Mytilus edulis: one gene and its partner. The protein of the gene in region 1 binds, or shares a complex with, the protein of each later gene. Links are inferred from orthologs where the notes say so. Each region holds a gene or a part of one and is shown in the gene's direction. Other genes may lie near its edges. The genes, in order: B-cell receptor-associated protein 31-like and mitochondrial fission 1 protein-like.

Region 1 (11,012 bases):
TGGTATTTCTACATCATTCTGGAAAAAAAACCTCATAATTAATTTCTGTCTGCTAATATGTGTATACCCTTTTTACAAATCAAGTGGACTTTTACAGACAAAATATTTTAAATCTGTAGAACAATCAAACACATATTCATTAAAACTTTCATCTGAAATTAGAGAATTTTGTTTATTTAAATGCTCTATCAACTGTTAAAATCAAAAAGAGAAATAATTTGGAAAATTTCTTAAAATTGATAGGCAAACAATACATATGGAATCTGATGTTCATTAGTTGTCGTTTGTTGGTGTGATTCATAAGTGTTTCTCCTTATTCATATAGATCAGTCTGTTGGTTTTCCAGTTTGAATGATTTTACACTAGTAATTTTTCAGGCTGTTTATCGCTTGCTGTTCAGTGTGAGCCATGGCTCTGTGTTGAAGACCGTACTTTTACCAGTCACCTTTAATGGTTTACTTTAATGAATTGTGACTTGGATGAAGAGTTTTCTCATGGGCAATGATACCACATCTTCTTATATCTATTTGGATCTTTATTTATCTTTTTAACCATTTATGAGATAGTTGTACATACTGGTGTCAACTTTAAATCTGATAAGACATCATCAAAGTAGTGGTATTCTGAGAACTCAAGGTTGACCATTTCATGTTTCAGTTCTAAAATTCTCCCCATAGCTCCATCCAGAACATGACGTAAAACTCTTCTTTTCTGTGGGTGGACAATCTGATCATATGACTGCTCTAATTTACGGAATATTTGTATATATTTTATATACATGGTGGCTAGCAACTGGAATGCTGCCAAACGATCCTAAAATAAAATTGTAATATGCATTGTATAACTAACTTGTAATATTTTTTTTAATAGAGTATGTCATCAAAAGTGGTAAACAAGTCAAAGGTCAACATAGCATACAAGGTCTGATAACAAGAAAATGCATTATGACTGTGACTGTATGTTGTTTAGGACTAAAATATTGCCTTCCTCCAAAATTGTACCAATAAACTGTATACATGGTATATAAAATATAGAAAAATATTCAACTTTTTATTTTCCTATTTGTATGGATTTATTTGGAAAATATAAATACTTTCTAACCAAATGCATGATTTAATTTCATGATTTTCAAAATGATATAATTTACATTCAAGGAACATGAGGAAAGATACAAGTTTAACATACATTGAATTACTTTTTTTCAGCTTTGAAAAATCACACACAAAAAAATTCACCCACCTCAATTAGTTGGTTTATTTATGTATTACAGTTTCTGTTTATGCAATATGAATGTTAGGATGATATGTAGTACAAACCTTTTCTGGTTTTGGTGGCTCTTCTGGGATTTCCTGTTGCAGGAGATCCTGCAAGGCTGATTGTCCCTCTCCCCATTGTTTGTTGTAGGTGCTAAGAAAGAAAAAGAAAAAATACACAGTCTACATAACATTGCTTGTACATATATATATATATATATATATATATATATATATATATATATATAAGTGTAATTACCTGTCAACCAACAGTTCAGATCTCAGTATGTCTAAGCTGACATAGAATCTTATTTCAGTGCTTTAAGGTATAAATTTAATTAGAATTCTATGAACCCTTTACAGGTTACACAGTCAGACCTGTTATATTAAATAGACATGTTTTGACAGTTATTCATCATGTTCATAGTGACATTTATAAAATCTTAATTCCTGGAACAATTTAATATACAGTGAAACCTGTCCAAACCGAACACCCTCAGGACTTTGCGTTTTGTTCGGTTTTCACAGGTGTTCAGATTATAGAGGTAAACGGAAGTCGACACCAAAATAATTTTGGCATTTACTAACCAGGGATAATAGGTGACACAATAGACAACAGTTTATTCTTGTGTTGATTTAGATGTAAATGTAAAAATAAAAGAAGATGAAGATAGACGTTTTGCTACATTTTTGTTTTTGATCGATGGGGTAGCTGACCAGTTTAACGTATCTTTACAAAAAAATCACTTTATACATGAACACAGACATGCTAATTAGTTTGTAATAACAACTCACAAGTTCATTAAACCTCAAATACCTTCGGGGATACTCTGCCATTCCGTGTTTGTTTAATTAAATCATGCAAATAATTAATAATGTTTATTGTTTTTATTGGTATTGATCGATTTTGACAGGTAATTTTTAGATACAAATTTACTAACGAGCCTTCAAAAAGCGTTCGGAATTCGGTGTTGACAGGGTTCGTTTTTTTCAGGTTAAATTAACGTTAATTGATAGGGAAATTTTGTGGGACTTTGAACATTGTTCGGTTTCAACTGAAATTCGGTTTTATCGGGGTTCGGTTTACCCAGGTTTCACTGTACTTAATATATATCAGAATAATCAAGTCTTGTGCCAACATGGCCAATCTTTCAATACAATAAAAAAAATTCATCTGCTAATGGCGCAGTAATGGTACAAATAAAAATGTTTATGATTGATCACATGTAACGTTGTTAATCCTCAGTAAAGTTAAGGTCTGCAGTCCTGGAACAATACATCTAAATACTGCTATTCCCACTTGACCCGGGAATCTGTCCCACTTTAATTTTCAACGTCATACAACAATCCCTTTTCCATTGTAGCTTCAAAATTTTTCTATTATGACAACTTTTGAGACGTCTAGTAATGGTGGACAAATAGGAATCCGGGTCCGTTCGCACCCAATCACATTCGCACCAATTCACATGCGCCCCCTTTCACTTTCGCACCCCACATGTTTGCACCCAGTCTGTTCACGCCCAATTTTACTGAGTTTTGGAAGGTGTATTGATATAAATATATATGTCATTGCTTCTTAATAATTTGAGATTCTGACAAGTTTTTTTTTGTATCATGGTAAGTTTATTGCTACATGTATGAAAAAAAAAAATCATTGTTTTAATTAAAGTGTGATTCTGTGATTCTGGCAACAAGTATTTCAATTTTGTGTTGAATAATTCTTAATGTTTCTAAATAAAGTGAGATTATGACAACGTTCTGTATGTGTTTATAAAATCTTAATCATGTTTTGGATAGTGTATGGCTTGAAATATTTTGTTTATGAATAAAGTGAGATTCTGACATCGTTTTTTTTTTGTGTGGTTGTTGAATACATCTTAAATCAATTGCAATCCAGGGCATTTATTTATTGCGTTAGTTTCATATATTTTATTCGTCCTTATATCATATATTTCATATATTTTATTTGTCCTTATATCATACATTCTTACAATTATTCAAAACAAACATCATAAATATCAACAGTAAAGAACTTAAGTTTAAGGGGGCTAGCGGGTCTAAATCAATTTTTTTATTTAATATAGGATTTCGCTATATTTTGGGGTCACATTCATTTACGCTCACAATGCCTTCGAAAGAAACATACATTTTTGTAAATGTCCTTTTTTTCTGTTGAACTAATAGGAGAAATAGCGGTAATATCGAAATAAAAAAAGAACTAAATTACAGAAATGCCTTAAATTTTACAATTATTTAGTTTATGTACAGCTTATTCGAAAACAACAATAAAAAATATAGGTCACCGATGAGTTAAAAAAGATATTTCATTTTTAATGCCAAAAAATGGCATTTTTGCACCAAAAAGGAGATAATTTGGAGCTTTTTCAATGATAACTACATTTTAAAAGTCGCCTTGGGCCAACAGGAATTGATTTTTTGGAATAATTTTTGAACCATATGATAAAGTAACAACTACTTAAGATATTTAATAAAATTTGTAAAGAAAATTAAATGTTTCATTTTTTTCTGAAAATCTTATAAATACATTTGTACCCGCGACCCTCCTTAGGCTCATCCTATCATGCACCATTCTAAAGAAAAAATACAGCACTTAAATATTCAGAGGTCTCACTAAATTAATTAGCGACAAGAAGAATAAATTTAGCGAAAATGTGAGATGCGAAAGTGTATTGGGTGCAAACGGACCTGATACCGACAAAAAGCGATAAGGTGTATTTGACAAAAGTCACGTGTAAAGAAAAAATCTCTGTGTAGTAATATTGGTAATGGACATGTTTCTATTTTTAACAAATGACTGAACTTAATTATTTGTGGTGATAAGGAAAGTAGAGGAACATAGAAATAAATGTGTAAAAACTATGGAGCTATTGAATGTGTTCAAAGTATTAAATTTTCAAAGAACTTATTGTGTTAAAAAGGGGATATTTTACCACAAGGAGCCGCATCACAAAAGGATGTTCGGGGTTTGCTAATTTACGGAAAAAGTACATGTAATCTCACTTCGTACCCCGAAAAATTTAACCACATATGTGAAAATGTCACAGCTTCGTAACGAGCTATCATACATATCCAAGTTTACAATATGGACTGAGCTACAGGAAAAAACGTTACCATTACCGCCTATGTAAAAACAATTAAAGATATTGAGCCAAGTGACGAATGTCATATGTAAACAAATGATCCTCATAGAAACGAAGATGGCGGAATTACAATAGAAAACATTCTGGAAAATGTGAAGGTCAGGATTATTACAGTGTGATCACTTAAAAGGTAGGTCAGTAGTCATGGTAGTGGTTTTTCTTTTTGTGATTTATGAATGGAATGTGAAAAACTATATCTCGAGTGAACCCATTTGATAGTTTAGATTATTTTTACCGATAACCACTACGAATTTCAGCTGACGGCGACTATAAAAACGTTGACATTAAATATCACCCACGTCAGAAGATGTGTTACTTCCAAAATTAAAAATTATAGGAGTACAAGAAACAAGCAATTTGCATGGCTTTCAAGAGTTCTTTTACTTGAGAGGTCCCAACATTTTATCAACAAACAGACAAATGTTTTTATGATCAACTTGAAAAATTAATTAAGTGCAATCAAAACCCTTGCCAATGGTAAAACATGCGATGCTTTGGTATTTCAAAGCAATTACTGACTTGTAAAATTCAAATATTCATAGAATTAAGAATTAAGTGGATAAACAAACCTGTGAGACATCCTCAAACTAACAGAAAATAATGCAGATTACAAATTTTACGCCATGATGTTTGTGTTTCTATAACAACGTTTAAATCTCGCTTACAAATCCTTGCCGAGATTATGAATTGTCATCGATCTTAGTCAAATTATCGTTTTTAGCAACTGATATTAACGATAGCTTACAAGACATTTAATGACTAAGAAGGTCACTTTCGAGAATATTGCAACTTTTTTTATCTTCATAATTTAAGATATAGTAAAGGTTTGTGTTTAGAGTCATCGTGAAATAAACCTAGAAACACAAAAAGTACATAGGGAAACTGAAAAATCAACAGGTCGGTACACATTAGAAAAAGTCAATAAGCCAATATGAAACAGGAAGGCAAAACCTCTTTTCGACATTCATTCAAAATTTAATCTATTTTTCTCCTTCACGAAATGGTCTTACTTTTGAATGTAGATTCTCCAATCTGAAACTTGGTTTGCCACCATTCACGTAGACCCCTTTCATTAAAAAAAATTTATAACAGCATTCATCATGTTCATATACATATATGAGGGTGGTAAAGGGGGGTAGCTTGCACGAGAAAAACGTGAAATAATTTCTGTAATGAACGTTGCACGAAAAATAAATACTTTTATGTGAACCTTTTATGACTGAATCACTGTCTTCTTGTATATATTAACTCTTTGTTTTACTTGATTTTCCCAATTTAGTATACACATTAATGTTATAATTGGTTTACGGCGTTTAAAAAAGTATTTCTTGAAGATCCCTGCCAAGTGTTTGAATTTTATTTGAAAAATACCGAGCACGCAAAATAAGACTTTGAAAATCACGATGCACGTAAAATTAAATAAGCAGAACACGTTGAACGAGGCACCCGTCTTGCACGACTGAACGTCAAATAAAAAAGTAAAAACACGTTGAACGTGAAATAAAAAACGGCGATCACGTTGCACGAAAATAACCCTTTACCACCCTCATATATTCTTGTTAATAAAATTGCTTGTTTAAGGGCATATGATAAAATACACCTTATCGCTATTTGTCTGTCATTACTGAAAATCACACAGGTTGCCGTAAAATTTTGACGTCATAAAACAAAATATCTGATGCCACAATGGAAAAGTGATTGTTGTATGCTTCAAAAGTTCAAGCGGCCGGGTCAGCCAGGATTAGTGATAAGGTGTATAACAGGGAGGTTAAATGTGAAATGTTATTTTTGCGACATCAGACTGACATATCATAGAAAAGATGCATTTTTTGACTGATTTTCATCATTCAAACTGATTTAATTTGAAAACGAGTTCATGGACACCTCTTTTGTTAAAAGACATTTGGTTTCCTTACAAATGAAGATTATTTTTACCAATTTCAAGAGAGTGTCAATATTGCAAATTTTTTAAATTTGATAAATATACAGCAAAAACTGAGTTTTTTTCTACATTCATGAATATTTGATAAATATGTCATTTTGTATGTGTTATTTGTATAATATAAATGCATTAATATAAAGAACATTTATATAAAACAGAACTTACAGATAATTTAACAAAAAACAGCTTGTGTTTATCTTTTAAAATAAAAAAAGTTATGGATTTCTTTCAACATGTTCAAAAGGAAAAATACGTCCACAAATCTGAATTTTGTGCTAATATCTGAAATTTCAACCTCATTTTACTCAAAAAGTAGCACATGAAGGTATATATATTTTATTACATATTTGATTTAATCAGGTTAAAAATAGCCTATATGCAATTTTTCATCAAAATTTCAAAATGGGATCAAAACTGAATCATATGCCCTTTATAATCAGATTGGTTACACTTTTTGATAATTTTAATATTATAAACTATCATGACTATGTCTGCATACATGACACAATTGCACAGTCTGTTCCAAACTGTATTAAAGTTTGACTGACCGAAAAAGAAATTTGACCTTTTCTTCTATATTTTCAACTAGAAAAAACTAAAAATTTCTATGTGAATAAATGAAATTTTGTCAGACAATAAGTTGGTCAGACAGAGTTACGGATACACTGATCATGCTGATTACAGTAAACATACAGGGGCCTTGGTGACCGAGTGGTCTAAGTTGTTACTACTGTAATCACTAGCCATTCGACACTGAGGTTGTGAGCTTGAACCCTGCTCTTTCGGGTGCCCTGGACTCCAATCTTAATTGAGTAGGATTGTCAGTTTTCCTATTGCAGGTCAATGGTTTTCTCTAGGCACTCTGGCTTCCTCCACTAATGAAAAATGGCTGCCACGAAGTAGCCTAAATGTGGTGCTCAAAAGTGGCGTTAAAACACCAAAAATCAAATCTGTAAACACATGTTAGAAAGGGAAAAAACTTCCGCTAAACAATTATACAACATATATAATTAAAAATAACGACATTTATTGTTTATGTTCATGATGTTTCAGATGTTCAGCTAATAAAATCAGTTATATATATGTATATATGTATATATACAATTGTAAAAAAGAAATAGTTTTATTACAGCCATGGTTGGAATACTGTGGTCAGGTATAGCTGGGTATCTATATGTTGAAATAACAATAGCTGTTATACTTATGTTACCATTTGTATCAGCACAAAGGTAAGAGTGTCAGATGTGTATTCCGTAGCTTTCACATGCAAAAAGTTCAGTTTGCATGCAAAATGCTATTCTCAAGAAAATTCACTTTTGAATGGTATTTGCTTAACTTTTCCATACAGTCATATATAAAACCATTTTGTAATTTTTTCATGATATGAATATCTCAAACTAAGCTTTATTAAAAAGAAAAAGAATTGTGCATAGTTATTTGTCAATCTAGCCATGCTAGCTAAAATGAGCTATAGGCTGTCAAATACCAAAATTAAAAAAAGGCAACTTGTTAAGTTGTTTAAAAAACATTTGTTGATTTTCTAGTTGTTTTCTATGTACAGAAATTTTGAGATCAGAACAATAAACATGTCATGAAAATTTGACATCATTATAATCATCTTTTAGATTTGATAGAGTGCATTTATTTATAATTTATGAGTTGGAAATTAATATTGTACTACAATTTTTTTCATTATAGAATAGCTTTAAAAAGAAAATAATTGAGCTTTTTTAAAATATTGTATTTGAACTCAAAACTGTTTTTCTAGTATTATAGTAATTAATAAATATGCAGCAATTATATGACATGTACATGTATGAACATGAAAAATATTTTCTAGTAATTATAGTAATTAATATAAATGTGCAGCTATTATATAATTTGGCTTATTATCTGAAATTTAAACACAAATCATGTCCTATGCATTTTTTTAGTAGCACTCTTGTGAAAGAATTTGGTACAAATAATTTCTAACAATGAATGAAATGGATTATTATTGTCCTGCATTATGACCTTTAGTTTTCTTCCTGTACAGATTTAACAATGACTGGTATAATATGGACTTCCATTTCGGGGTTTATGTATCTTGAAATATTTGTATCGGTAATTTTATTGATACCATATATTTCTCCATCTAGGTAAGCACTGATCTTTACAGCATTCATTAGTGGCAGCTACTGTACATATTGACTTCTACAAAACCCATGTGGCCTTTTAATCTGGTAAAAATTAATCTGTTGCTGTGTTGAAGAACCATTGGCTGTTTGTTTTTTTACTCTTTGGTTTGGTTGTTGTCCTCTTTGACATATTCCCCATTTCCATTCTTGATTTTATTAAAAATCAATTTAAAATTATTAAAAAATATACTGTAGAAACTCATTGAAAACCACATTAGTTTTAAAGGAGTCAATGATGCTTTAAGCAAAATTAGATAACTAACATTGCATCATGTTCATGAATTATCATTTACACAGACATTAATCTAATTAAAGGTGTATATATCTATATAAAACAACTGTCATCATATATTGGTTCATGTATCCACAATTCTGATTTGAGTAAGAAAGTGCAAATCAAACAATGTCAAATGTATAAAACAGGATACTGATTGTACACCTTTAATCTCATGCATTTGGATTTTCAAGGCCATAATGAAATTAAAGTACTTCAAGATTTTCATCCAAAATCCTCTCAAAATATTTGTATATATTCCTTTTTTTTCTTCTTTTTTTTTTTTTTATCAATTTCCATTTCAACATGGAACCAATTCATTACCATAATTAATGAATTAACATGACTTAAACAGTAAAATTGAAATGCCATCTCTTTTCAATTTAAAAAAAAGATATGGATGAAAACCTGGACATATTATTTTCATTGTGGCCTAAGTGATTTTGATACTGTAAATTCAGAAATTATTGTGATGTTCTTATTATTGTGAAAAATGAGTCTGAGTTATAATCGCAATAATTCAAACTCACATTTTAAAATTCTTTGTATGAATTAAACAGGATTTTCTCAATCACAAAAATTAAACAAATTGCAATAATTTCTGAATTTACAGTTCTTACAAACCTATTAAGCATGGGGAGAAAGTTATTTCCTCTGCATTTTGGAACCTGCATATTAAAAGCATTATATTTTGTATGGTATCATGGGCAATAATATTCCATTGTAGTAATATAAAGTATAGAAAGTTAGTGTAATACAGGTTTATGTAAAATTTGACATTTATGAAGAAATTGTTTCATGCAACTTTTTTGAAAATTGTGTAATAATCACATTAGATAATGTGAACAAATCATGGCCCCAAAACGACTTCTAATGCATTCAATATTTAGAGGTTTTTTAGAATGTCTGTGAAATTTGCACTAATTTTATTTTTTATTTTCTAAAAGAAAAGATGTATTACTTGATAAAAAATACTTTTCAATATTTAGTTTGGGAGTAATCTTTAAATTTAAGGGAGTATCATGTCAAATTATTTAAGCATGACTTGACAGATGGCCTATTGTTATAAAAATTAGAAAATATACAAATATCAGAATGTTTTTGCAATTCCATATCAATAAATATCTTTCTAAACTCTTTTGGCGAGTGGGATATCAATGCATCTAGGTTTTCTTGTTTTAAAATTCCGTTTATTTTTACATAGATACATAGATGACCTGATTTTCTTTACTCAATATTACACATAAATAATATCCAATTATATAGGATATTTAGTACTTTGACCACATGCTGGTGTAGAATATCTAGTACCCTGATCACATGATGGTCTATTTCAGGCAAACCACATCCTAAAATGCTTTGGACTTTCATAGCTTTATTCCTGTATCTGGAGATCTTCCTCTCAGCTATCCTTTTAATCCCTTTTATCCCACCATCCAGGTAGGTTGGGATATATATTCACGATATTTGCCATGTACATATATACAATGTAAACTAAGTTGTCAACAAATTTTCTCAAAATTGTTCAATTTTAATTACTGTGGATACATTATCATGATTATTTATTTCTTAAATTATTAGTTGGATACCAATGTTCTTGGATGTTGTGGGTACAGGGGAACTACAAATTTTAATGTTCAACAAACTACAAAATTTCCATAGACCTGTATGCAGACTTTAAGAAAAACACAAAATTTAACATCAAAGTGTTAGTTTTTCTCAATCCACGAAAATTGATACCCACGAAATAAATGAATCCACAGTAGTATTTTATGTATATGGGGATTTTAGCATTCAATCTATACAATGTGGACAGTAATGAAATAAAAGAATATGTTGAGAAACATATTATTAAGAGCCCTCTTAAAATAAACAGCTTAATGTGAAGTATTTCCTGATGCACAGTTTTTGCCCATTTTGATGACAATGTTAGCTATAGCTAAGTTATGTATACATTCATGTGTACAGATGTATAGTGTTAAAAATCTCTCACTTAACTTATACTGTCACATTGTGTTTAGGCCCGGCCAAGCTATTCATATTATGGGGGGGGGGGGGGATATTTCTTACATAATTATTTGTTTAGAATAAAATGTATTCATTTGAGAAATTTGTTGATAACAATTATTGATACTGGAAATATATATACATGTATATAGTTTCAAAGGAAGTTTTTTCTTTTACATCCAATATCTTGAGTATACA
Region 2 (11,012 bases), on another chromosome or scaffold:
ATGTTTTAATTTGACAGTTGAACCTGTTGAATGTGAAATTAAGGAAAGTGAAGAAAACTGTGATTTTAGTTGTTTGAAGTCTGGTTTTGATCAAATTGTCAAAGTTCTTAAAAAGCTGGTTTATAAGAAGTTTAAAGTAAAAAAATGTTTTAATTGTTTGGTAGTTGGACATATCAGAGCTAATTGTCCCAATAAAGTTTGTAAAAGTGTCAATTCTGTTCATGTTGTTGAACCAGAAAAACCAGTTTCTACTGCAGTTCATAAGAAAGTAAAAAAATCATGCAAAGTTGTCAACAAAGTTCAAAATTTATTTTCATTTGATTTGCAAAGCTGTTTATCTGATTATTTGATTTCTAGCACGGATGAGTTTTCTTGTTTGAAGGATAAGCCAGTTAAAGTTTTCATATAGTATGTTTTTTTAGTTTTAATTTGTATATTTAGTATTTTACTTATTTTGTCACTTTATATTATTGTTTAGTAGGTATGGTTTCAAAGTTTTCATTGGATTTGTTGTTTTTCTTGGTCACGTTAATGAGCCGGTTTTGCCATCAAAACACCCTCAAAACGTTGTTTGATTTGATTGTGTTTTTCTTTAGATGTTGGTTTGTTTAGTTTGTAGCTAAGTTTCTTGTTTGAATAGGTTTATTTATGAGTTTGCTCATTTTTTTGGATTTTTAACCTTTCTGAACAAGTTTTATTGTTTTAAATTTGTTTAGTTTGGTTATGGTTTTCCTTTTGTGACTTTTATAAGTCATGGCAGAAATCTATTGAGTGGCAGAAAGTTTAAGTGTGAAGACAACCACCTGATAAAGTAAGCAGTTCTTGTTATCAAGAGCACCTTTCTTACTCTTTGTACAACGTTTGAACTTTGATCATCTTGAACCCGGAATCACATGTTATACGTGATTCCGTGAGATCTACAATGGTGGACTAAACCTGGTACAACGATAGACTTTTTAGAACCCGAAAACACACGTTTAAAGTGTTTTCGTGAGAACAACAATTGGTGGACTATACCTGGTACAACTTGGACCATGCAGATTATCCGTATTACCATTCCGTTTCCGTTTGAATCTAGAACTGTGTTTTATTGAATGCTGTATAACTGTGTCCGTTTACATTTATATTCTATGGACCGTACTTTATAATTTGTGTTTACCGACTATTCCTGGATGTTTATACTGTGTGAACTTTTCCTATGGTTGGACCGTGTGATTATTTGACATTTTTGTGACATTTATTGACATTTTTTGTGCATTGATTTATATTTTTGTTAATTATTTTGAACACATCTATTTTAAATAAATCTTTTCCCAAATATTAATTTCTTTAATATTTGTCCTAAGGGGGGAGGATTGTAATAGATGTGCCTTGATATGCCTAGGTTAATTCCCCTTAATTTGGACAGATTAATTATTTAGTATTTAAATGTTTATTTTTAGTTAAATTTGATTTAAATATAGTAGGATAAAAGTAAAGAATGTTAATTTAACTGTTTTAGTATTTAACTTTTGATGTTTTTATAATGTTTTAAGAATATTCATTTATTTAACTTTTCTTCAGTACCTTTTATGTTAAAGTTAGCCTGTTTAATGAAAAGTTTAGGATATCATTTGATATTCAGTCGGAGTCGGCCTTGCACAGGCCTCCAAATACTCGCCGGAACTAATATTAGTACTAATCGAGTCTAGAGTTAGCCACCACTTCGGTGCAGTTCGCCAGAGTTAGTCACCCCTTTTTGGTGCAATTTTACTACTTTTAAACACAACGCAAAGCAATTTTACTTTATTTTACTTAAAAGACTAACTCTGGGAACACTCTAGTTTTCATTTTACATTTGAAATTACTTTATTTTTGAACTTCATTTAAGAAAGTTTTCTGACTCCTGTTTTATCCGACTTTGTTTAAATTCATGCAATTATTGTACATTTGTGAATAAAATATAGTTTTCATTTGATTAATTGTTTGTTGTTCAGCCATAATCTGATATCAGGTATCCCGATGGTCGAATAGGGGCGAAGTACTGGCCACTACACGTCCCGGGAGGTGTCGTCACCGACCCCCTCCGTTACACTAGAAACAATATCATTTTACCTGTTTTTGTTGCCCTTTAAAAAACCTGTGTTAACTGAATCATCAAGACTTTTAGTGGTACATATATATTGTATTTTATTTCTTTCACACATGCAAATGATATATATATTATCTTCAAATGGAGTTCTGTGGACAGATTTATTTTCTTGGATTGAGAAAATCTTGCATTTTATTTGTTATTTGGTTTTGTTAATTCGTCAGTTTCTGTATACATTAATGACATTCCTACTATAGAATAAACGGAATTTGTTGAACATTTAAATTCAAGGTTCCCTTCTACTCACGAAATCCATGAACACTAACATTTACAGATAAATAGATATCCCCAAAAATCAAACCATTTCAGAATAAAAACAACTGAAATTACTAATTATTAACACTTATAAAAAACATCACATGGTTCTTAAAAAATAAAACTGTATAAAAGTTCTTACAAAAGTGAAGTGTTATCAAAGGGACATAACCAGTAAATTACTGATCTGAACCACTTTGTTAGAATGTTATAATAACAAATCAAAGTGTTGCCTTATCATTGTGTAAGCAAGAAGATATATTTATCACTTATACTCCTAAGAATGACCACTCAAATGCAAATTATTTTTCTTACATGAAATAATATGTATCAAAAAGTTGGGCTCAATTTTTTGGCTTAATTAAGAAATCAAATATATAGCAATTACTTTAATAGTCTTCATTGAAAAAGAGTAGGGGCAATAAGGCCCTTATTTGGCCCAAAAATTACTGAAAATTTTAAAGTAATCATACATATTGTTAAATTACTGAAAATTTATCTAAGGTATAAGGTACAAACAAAAACACAAAAAAAAATGACATCAACAAGTTACCATGGCAACAAATCATAACCTAATTTGCATATTTTGTTAAATTTCGTGATTTTCCTTGTTTTTTCATCAAATTTTTAAGTATATTTTAGACTGAAAAAGTATGTGCGCACCCAAGAAACAACTTTATATTTGATGAGATAATGCCAATAGTTATAATAAAGCTTTTGTTAAATTATTTTGTTGTTTCTCGGCTGCGCAGGATGTCTCCACAACAGAAATAAAGTCAGAAAACTGCATAATTTCTGTATTTTTCATGGTTTTTGTAAAAACAGTTCATATTATGACTTAATTGTGAGGTCATCAGATACAAATCTTAATGTTTTTCATTTATATTTCTTGACCCTAAGCATTTTTAAACATTATGTGCCAATTTGAAATAGTTATCAAACATTTCATTTTCTTGGGCCAAAACTAGGCCTTATATTGCCCCTACTCCTTTGTTCTTTTTTAAAAATAAGTTAAATTCTGGATAGTTTTCTGGATGTAAAAAATTATATTAATACTTGGTTTCAAAATCAATCTATGAATTACCTGTACTCTGTAGCTTTACTTCAAAGTAAGCTTTATCTTGTGCTATAGGAGCATTTGACAATGCTGCACCTGTTCCACATATTCTTTTACCACTTTTCACAATCACAACATCATTACCTGAAATGTTAAACACATGTACATTTTTACATTTAAGCATAAAAAAATAATTATCAACTAAGCATAAATTTACTAAAATAACAGAAAATTATCAAAAGTATTAATGTAACTTTGAAGGGGTTTCATTGGGGGGTTCTGATCACGGATCCTGCTTACTGTTTTGTCATATTCCCGTATCCCGCTTACACTATATATGTAAGCAATTCTCATTTTTTTATCATTTCCAGGGTACCGCAAGACCTCATTTCCCGTTTTCACGCCACAATAATTTGACTTTCACATGTCACGCTTACAAAAAATCAGCAATTTCGCATCACGCTAATAGACCCCAATGAGACCCACTTTGAATTTTGTATTATAATAAATTTAAAAACAGCTTTCGTTTTCTGAATCAAATTTTTATAGGTAGTTTCTTTAAACACATAAAACAATTTTAAGGTGACAATTGACATGAATGTATCCTTCCTTAAGATTGTTTATAGCTTGTTAAACTAATATATTTCTATATTTTTTTTATATAATTAATTTACAAAAAGATCTTTAAGATACCTATATGGTGGTTCTTATTAGGATCAAAGTCTGTTGCAGGATTCACCCATTTTTCTAATGTGTGACAGAAACAGAAACAATGTTCGGCGTAAATGTAAAATAATATATATCACAAGTGCTAGTAGTAGTATTGCAAATTATGATAGGCATGATAAGTGAGACACATGATTCTGACAAAACAATAAGCAAGTTTAGGATCAGAACCCTGAAGTAGTGCCTGAAGTGAGCACTATATATCTTATCATTGTTGATAGAATTTCCTGTGATACAAACAAAACAAAAACTAAATTATTTTCAAAAAATTTAGTGATTTACCCATGTGATTTGTGTCAAGTTGTACTGTTGGAATTTCCTTCAAGGGTATATGTCCTGAATTGCCATTTAGCATTCTTAAACAGCAAAGACATCTTGTAAGTGACATTTTACTATATTACTAATTTTGAATCAAAATATTGTTTTGATGTGGAAATCCGGAAACTAGTCTGAAGGTAAAGTTATGTTTTTAAACTGTAAAGACAAATTTGTAATCTTTAACATAAATCGTTGCCTTATATGTCAATTTTAGAGACTTGGTAACATCATTTGTTCTTATCTTATTCTAAGAAAGACATTATTTTGGATGAAATGTGTATTTTCCATGACTGCTTTATATTCGTTCCATCTCGGAAAGTGGTCTAATTTTATGTTTCCACGTAAGCGCAATCTTGCTAATGTTTTAGGACAACTTATTGATATGAAATGTGGGAAAGCGTTTAATTGACATTGATTTCTAGAAATGGATCGGATTGTGAACGAAATTTGCGACGAAAATGACTTAAAGGTACGAATAAATGTCTAGTGTCTCTTCATACATTTGACCAAATCATGCAATATGGATAGAATATATGAAGGGAAAATAAACATACAAAAAACCTAAATTATAGTGTTGTCAAAGAAAGAAGGAGCCAGAGAGAAAAACACACAGTGGTCAGTGACCAGTCAGGGGACTTACTTAATGAGTGATTTAGAAGAGTGATTTTCTGAATCACTGATTCAAGTAACATTATGTTCATAAAGGTTGGAAGTTAGAGTTGTCTCTCTTTAATAATCACCTATTTAAGTAGCACAAATTAATCACTAGAAGAAGTGATTTAATCTTATTGTAGCTTCAAATATAGAATACTAATGATTCAGGGACTAATTATGTTTCTAAACTTATCAGAACCAACATCTGTGTTGTCTAGGATGACCAGGTGTTAAGAATTGCGCTAATATTAACGTACCTTTTTGCGGTACGGCAGCTATCTTTGTGACGTCGCGTTATTGTTATACTTTATGTTGTATTGAATAGAAACGTATAATGGCAGACGTAGTTCTATCTTTAACGCCTTAGATAACTTACGATAAAATACACAACGCAATATTCTACATTGGTGCCGTGACTTCAAACGGAGAGAATGGACATCAGCCGATTAAAATCCTTGAGAGCGGGGAACAAAGCAGCAGTAACAAAAGTTTTCAAAAAACTGGAGGAAGCCATCGGAGATTCACAAATAGACACGGAGGAAGTATCAACATTGCTCGAAGCAATTGAGAAGAAAAAGAAGACGTAAGCCTCAATAGATGAACAGATATTAAATGCAGTCGAATCAGAAGATATTACAAATGAAATTCTTGAAACAGATGAGTATTATTTAGATTTAGAGGGTAAAATTCGAAAATTTAAGAAGTTCTTAAAGCCCGTAACAAACGCAACATCTTCTATACTAGATTCAAACGCACCAGAGTTTGTTCTGTACACAAACCCCTTCACTCACACAAGTCAGCCATTATCTCAGTCAAGTTCGACCTCAAGTAATAACCATCGCCTACCAAAGCTATCTCTTCCCAATTTTAATGGAGACATTCTACAATGGCAATATTTCTGGGATTCATACGAGACCACGATTCATCACAATCACACATTAACTGACATTCAGAAATTTTCGTACTTGAACTCATTGCTTCAATTTGAAGCTGCAAACGTAATTTCAGGATTGACCATGACAAATCCAAACTACCACAAAGCAATTGAATTATTGAGAAACCGCTATGGGCAACCACATAAAATCATAAATGCATATATGAGAGCACTACTTGATATACCCGCACCACATGATACATTAGAAAGTTTGAGAACATTTCATGACAAATCAGAAGCTTACATACAGGGTCTAGAGTCTCTTGGACAATGTCAGGAAATGTACGGATCGCTATTGATACCAGTAATTCTCGGGAAGATACCGCATGAAGTATGAAAAAATATAACACGAGAAAACGGGAGCGACAGTTGGAATATTCAATCGCTTAGAAACGCGATAGGTAAAGAGATTTCTATTCAAGAGTCCGGATACGGAGATTATACGCAGACGTATTCAACCGCCACTCCTAGCGCAAATTTCATAACAGGCGTTAAACGAGTAACTACAGATAAAACCCGTCCGATAAACACAACAGACAAATCATTCAACTCGAATCGGAAGAAACAATGCACATATTGTGACGGAAACCACTGGCCTAACGAATGTAAAGATATCATAGATCACGATAAAAGAGTAGCCATTATAAAGGAAAGAGATTATGCTTTAATTGTTTAGGTAAGCATAAAATAGCCGATTGCAAATCCAAGAATATGTGTAAGTGTTGCCACCGGAAGCATCACTCTTCATTATGTAAACAGAACTCGTACTGAAATAAACATCATATTGAAACTGAACAATCGCAAAATAAAGTAGACACAGAAACTTCTATGTTGTATACCGCTAGCGAAGAAAGGTCCACTGTTTTACTGAAAACCGCATTCAGTCCAGTCGTTCACAAAAATACATGTACACTGTATAGATGTATTTACACATAGAATACTCTTTGACGAGGGAGCTCAGCGCTCATTTATAACGGAAGAACTAGCAGCTAAATTGGACATTAAAAAAGAAGGTTCTGAAACATTAAGTATAGCTACATTTGGAAGTACTACAAAAAAGGTGAGAAATCTTGACAAAACAACAATTAATCTTAACTCTACCGAAGGAGAATTAATCCCTATTAAAGTTTTAATTGTACCAACCATTGCTTCACCACTTCAAACTCACAACATAGGAATAACGCAGAAGTTTTCTTATTTACGTGGTCTACAATTAGCACACCCAGTCATGGATGGAGAGCAATTTGAAATATCCTTATTAATTGGAGGTGATTTCTACTGGGACATAGTTCAAGACAAAATAGTGCGTAGAAACGGTCCAACCGCAGTTAGCTCGAAAATTGGATATTTACTTTCCGGTCCTGTCCCTACACGAACCAGCAATGCATCTTTCTCAATGATGAATATACTAGTTTGTCACAAACAAGAAGAGTGCGATCTTGAACAATTTTGGAAGCTTGAATCGTTGGGAATTGACGTTAAAGAACAAAATGATCCAGACCTAGCTGAATCAATTGAAAATTACTTACAAACCTCTATTACGAAGAAAAATGATAAGTATATTGCGAAATTACCATGGAGAGAGAATGCGCCAGAACTACCGACAAATAAAGACATCGCAAAACGCAGAACGGAAAGCGTTATTCGTCGACTGAAGAAGGATCCGGAGATGTTCCAAAAGTATGGTGAGATAATTACAGACCAAGAACAAAGAGGATTCATTGAAAAGGTATGTGATGAAATTACATGCACAAACAAGGTTCATTACATTCCGCATCATCCCGTAAAAAAGGATTCAGTCACCACCCCGATACGCATAGTATATAACTGTAGCTGTAGAGCGAACGACAATAGCCCTTGTCTTAACGATTGCCTAGCAACATATCCACCAATTATGACTGATTTGACGGAGATATTAGTACGCTTTAGAATGTACAAATATGCAGTTACAGCAGATATTGAAAAAGCATTTTTGCATATTGAATTAGATGTTGATGACAGAGATGTCACAAGATTTTATTGGTTAGAAAATCACATGGACACAGAAAGCCGTTTGATTACTTACCGGTTTAAAGTTGTACTTTTCGGCGCCACCTGTTCGCCATTCATGTTAAGCGCCACACTAATGAAACATTTTAGAGACAATCCGTCAACTACATCAACTGAATTACAGAGAAACTTATACGTGGATAACGTTCTGACCAGTTTTACAGATGAACAATCACTTTTGAAATTCTACACGGAGTCAAGAAAATTATTGTCAGAAGCAGGATTCAACTTACGGTCTTGGAATTCTAATAGTACGGAATTACAGAACGTCGCAGGACTAGACAAGATCGGCGACAATGACGACATAGTCAAAATTTTAGGCATGAGATGGGATAGGGAATCCGATGATTTGAAATTTCAACAGATTGAATTTATGGAAAAGGACAAAATGATAACAAAACGTGAGGTTTTGCGCACATCGTCTAGAATTTTCAACCCCCTTGGATTAATCACGCCAATTACGGCGAAAGCTAAGCTGTTTATGCAGACTAATTATGGAAGGCAAAGTTGGATTGGGATGAATGTTTGTCCGACAAACTGAGAAGTAAATGGCAGGTAATAGCTTTAGATATCAAGGAGGCTACCAAAATAGTATTTCCACGAATGTTAACGGAAGGAGTATTTAACGAGAAAACGTCACTACATATTTTCACAGACGCCAGTCAGTTAGCATACGGAGCTTGTGCTTACTTAGTTACAGCAAATTCATCGATCCTTGTCATGGCTAAAAACAGAGTAGTACCCGTTAAACCGATTTCATTACCACGTTTAGAACTTATGGGCGCGCTTATCGGCGCCAGATTAGCAACGCATCTTCTTAAAGTCATAACAACAGAACATGTGTATATGTGGAGCGATAGTCAGATTGTTTTGAGTTGGATTAAATCGTCAAAAATATTAAAACCGTTCGTAGAAAATCGACTTAAAGAAATACGAAAATTAACAGAGAATGCTGAATGGAATTATTGTCCAACAGATGACAATCCAGCTGATTACTTAACTCGCGGAATTTACGCTTAACAACTTTATAACAACAGCTTATGGATGAACGGTCCACAATGGATTTTAAATCGTAAAAATTGGCCGACATGGACAAGGAAAATTGAAGATTGCAGCACGATGGTAACTGTTAGTGATGAAAATACAGAAGATGAAAGTACAAATGCTTCAACACAGACAATTTCATGTATAGATATACAACGATACAGATCTTTAGAAAAAGCAATTAGAGTAACAGCATACGTCTTGCGCTTTATACAGAATTTACGGAACTCAAGAGAACGAACAATCGGATTTATCAGTGTTGAGGAGCGATGTAAAGCATTAGAAGTTCTAATAGTAACAGCACAACAGCAAACATTTAAGGATGAAATTGAAAGCTTGAATTCATCTTCACAGAAAAAAGTGCAACTTGTTCGACAACTTAAACTTTATACAGACAAAAGCGGATTACTACGTTGTACCGGGAGAATACAAAACGCACCTGTTAAGGAGAGTACTAAATATCCGTTGTTATTGCCAACACACCACAGTCTTATGTCCTTTATCGTAATGGATGCACACACAAAGACTTTTCATGCCGGACTTAACAGTACAATCGCATATATTCAACAGAAATATTGGATACCGAGAATAAGACAGTGCGTAAAATCACAAATTCGTAAATGCGTTCAATGCATTAAAATATCAGGAATGCCTTACAGCGCACCCGATCCGCCACCGCTTCCTAAAGATCGAGTCAACTACGATTATCCTTTTTCAGTAACCGGCGTTGATTTCACAGGAGCTTTGTATACAAAAGGAAAACACAACGAATTAAGCAAAACATATATTTGTTTATTCACTTGCGCCGCTACACGAGCTATACACTTGGAGATAGTCACAGATTTAACCGAGGAGTCTTTCATGCTTGCTTTTAAAAGATTTGTCGCTAGAAGATCTACACCAAGGATTATGTTGTCCGATAATGCAACAACCTTCAAGGCAGCCGCCGAAAAGATTACAAGATCAAGCAAAGACAACCGAATACAAGAAAAACTTGCCGATCAAGGAACTGAGTGGAAATTTATACCCAACCGAGCACTGTGGTTTGGAGGCTTTTGGGAAAGCCTAATTGGACTCACGAAAAAGTCAATTAAAGTAATACTAGGAAAGTCATGTGTCACTACGGAAATGTTGAATACAATTGTAATCGAAATCGAGGGAACTCTAAATAATCGTCCTATAAATCACATTTCTACTGATATTAAAGATCCCGAACCGCTGACGCCAGCGCACCTGTTATATGGTCGTCGACTTGACAACCAATCGGAACAGAATATTGACAGTGTTACTTCAGAAGACTTGCACGTGAAACTGAATAAAAATCTACAGAGAAATAATGAACTAATCAACCATTTTCGCTCAAGATGGAAACACGAATATCTGACGTCACTCTGAATTCCACCGTACATCTGGAAGAAACGAACAAACAATACAAATAGGTGACATTGTACAAGTACACAATGACACAAATCGAATAATGTGGAAATTAGCAGTTGTACAAGATTTAGTTCGTGGAAAGGATGGACTCATTCGATCAGCTGTTATCAAGACCGACACAGGAATTACCAACCGTCCGATTGTGAAGCTCTATCCGTTGGAAATACGCAGTACACATGATGACAGTGAATGAACTTTTCTGCCCTGGAGAACTTTCTGCCCTGGAGAAATTAGTGGATGTATAGACTGTTCAATTAACTACGGTTATTATATAGACTTGTGAAAGTGTTAAATTATTCAGACGTGAACAGTTAAAAAACTATTGAGAGACTTTAACTATGATTTTATTTCATTTTATGTCACAATTTACGAATTTTTCATATTGTATTTCAAATTTAAGTTAAATA

The links.
Region 2: the proteins of B-cell receptor-associated protein 31-like (region 1) and mitochondrial fission 1 protein-like are in contact, whole or in part, in a crystal structure (PDB 8XWX), measured with the Homo sapiens proteins. The link is inferred for Mytilus edulis from reciprocal best matches to the Homo sapiens genes BCAP31 and FIS1. Residues at the interface, in NP_001132913.1 of Homo sapiens: Asp224, Leu227, Glu228, Ala231, Lys232, Ala235; in NP_057152.2 of Homo sapiens: Arg52, Val56, Glu59, Glu60, Pro63, Lys64, Lys89.

The regions. Positions count from the first base shown.
Region 1 is NC_092344.1:77,904,147-77,915,158, forward strand, and holds the start of B-cell receptor-associated protein 31-like, read left to right. Parts: upstream 1-5,084; 5' UTR 5,085-5,311; intron 5,312-7,488; exon of another isoform or gene 7,489-7,490; coding exon of another isoform or gene 7,491-7,585; intron 7,586-8,391; 5' UTR 8,392-8,399; coding exon 8,400-8,494; intron 8,495-10,144; exon of another isoform or gene 10,145-10,161; coding exon of another isoform or gene 10,162-10,247; intron 10,248-11,012. Other genes in the region: dynein regulatory complex protein 11-like, read right to left, coding at 1-18, 577-813, 1,317-1,407, 4,984-4,994. UniProt on the Homo sapiens protein: Functions as a chaperone protein. Is one of the most abundant endoplasmic reticulum (ER) proteins.
Region 2 is NC_092346.1:45,787,348-45,798,359, reverse strand, and holds the start of mitochondrial fission 1 protein-like, read left to right. Parts: upstream 1-4,838; 5' UTR 4,839-4,911; coding exon 4,912-4,956; intron 4,957-11,012. Other genes in the region: SPRY domain-containing protein 7-like, read right to left, coding at 3,471-3,587, 4,452-4,557. UniProt on the Homo sapiens protein: Involved in the fragmentation of the mitochondrial network and its perinuclear clustering. Plays a minor role in the recruitment and association of the fission mediator dynamin-related protein 1 (DNM1L) to the mitochondrial surface and mitochondrial fission.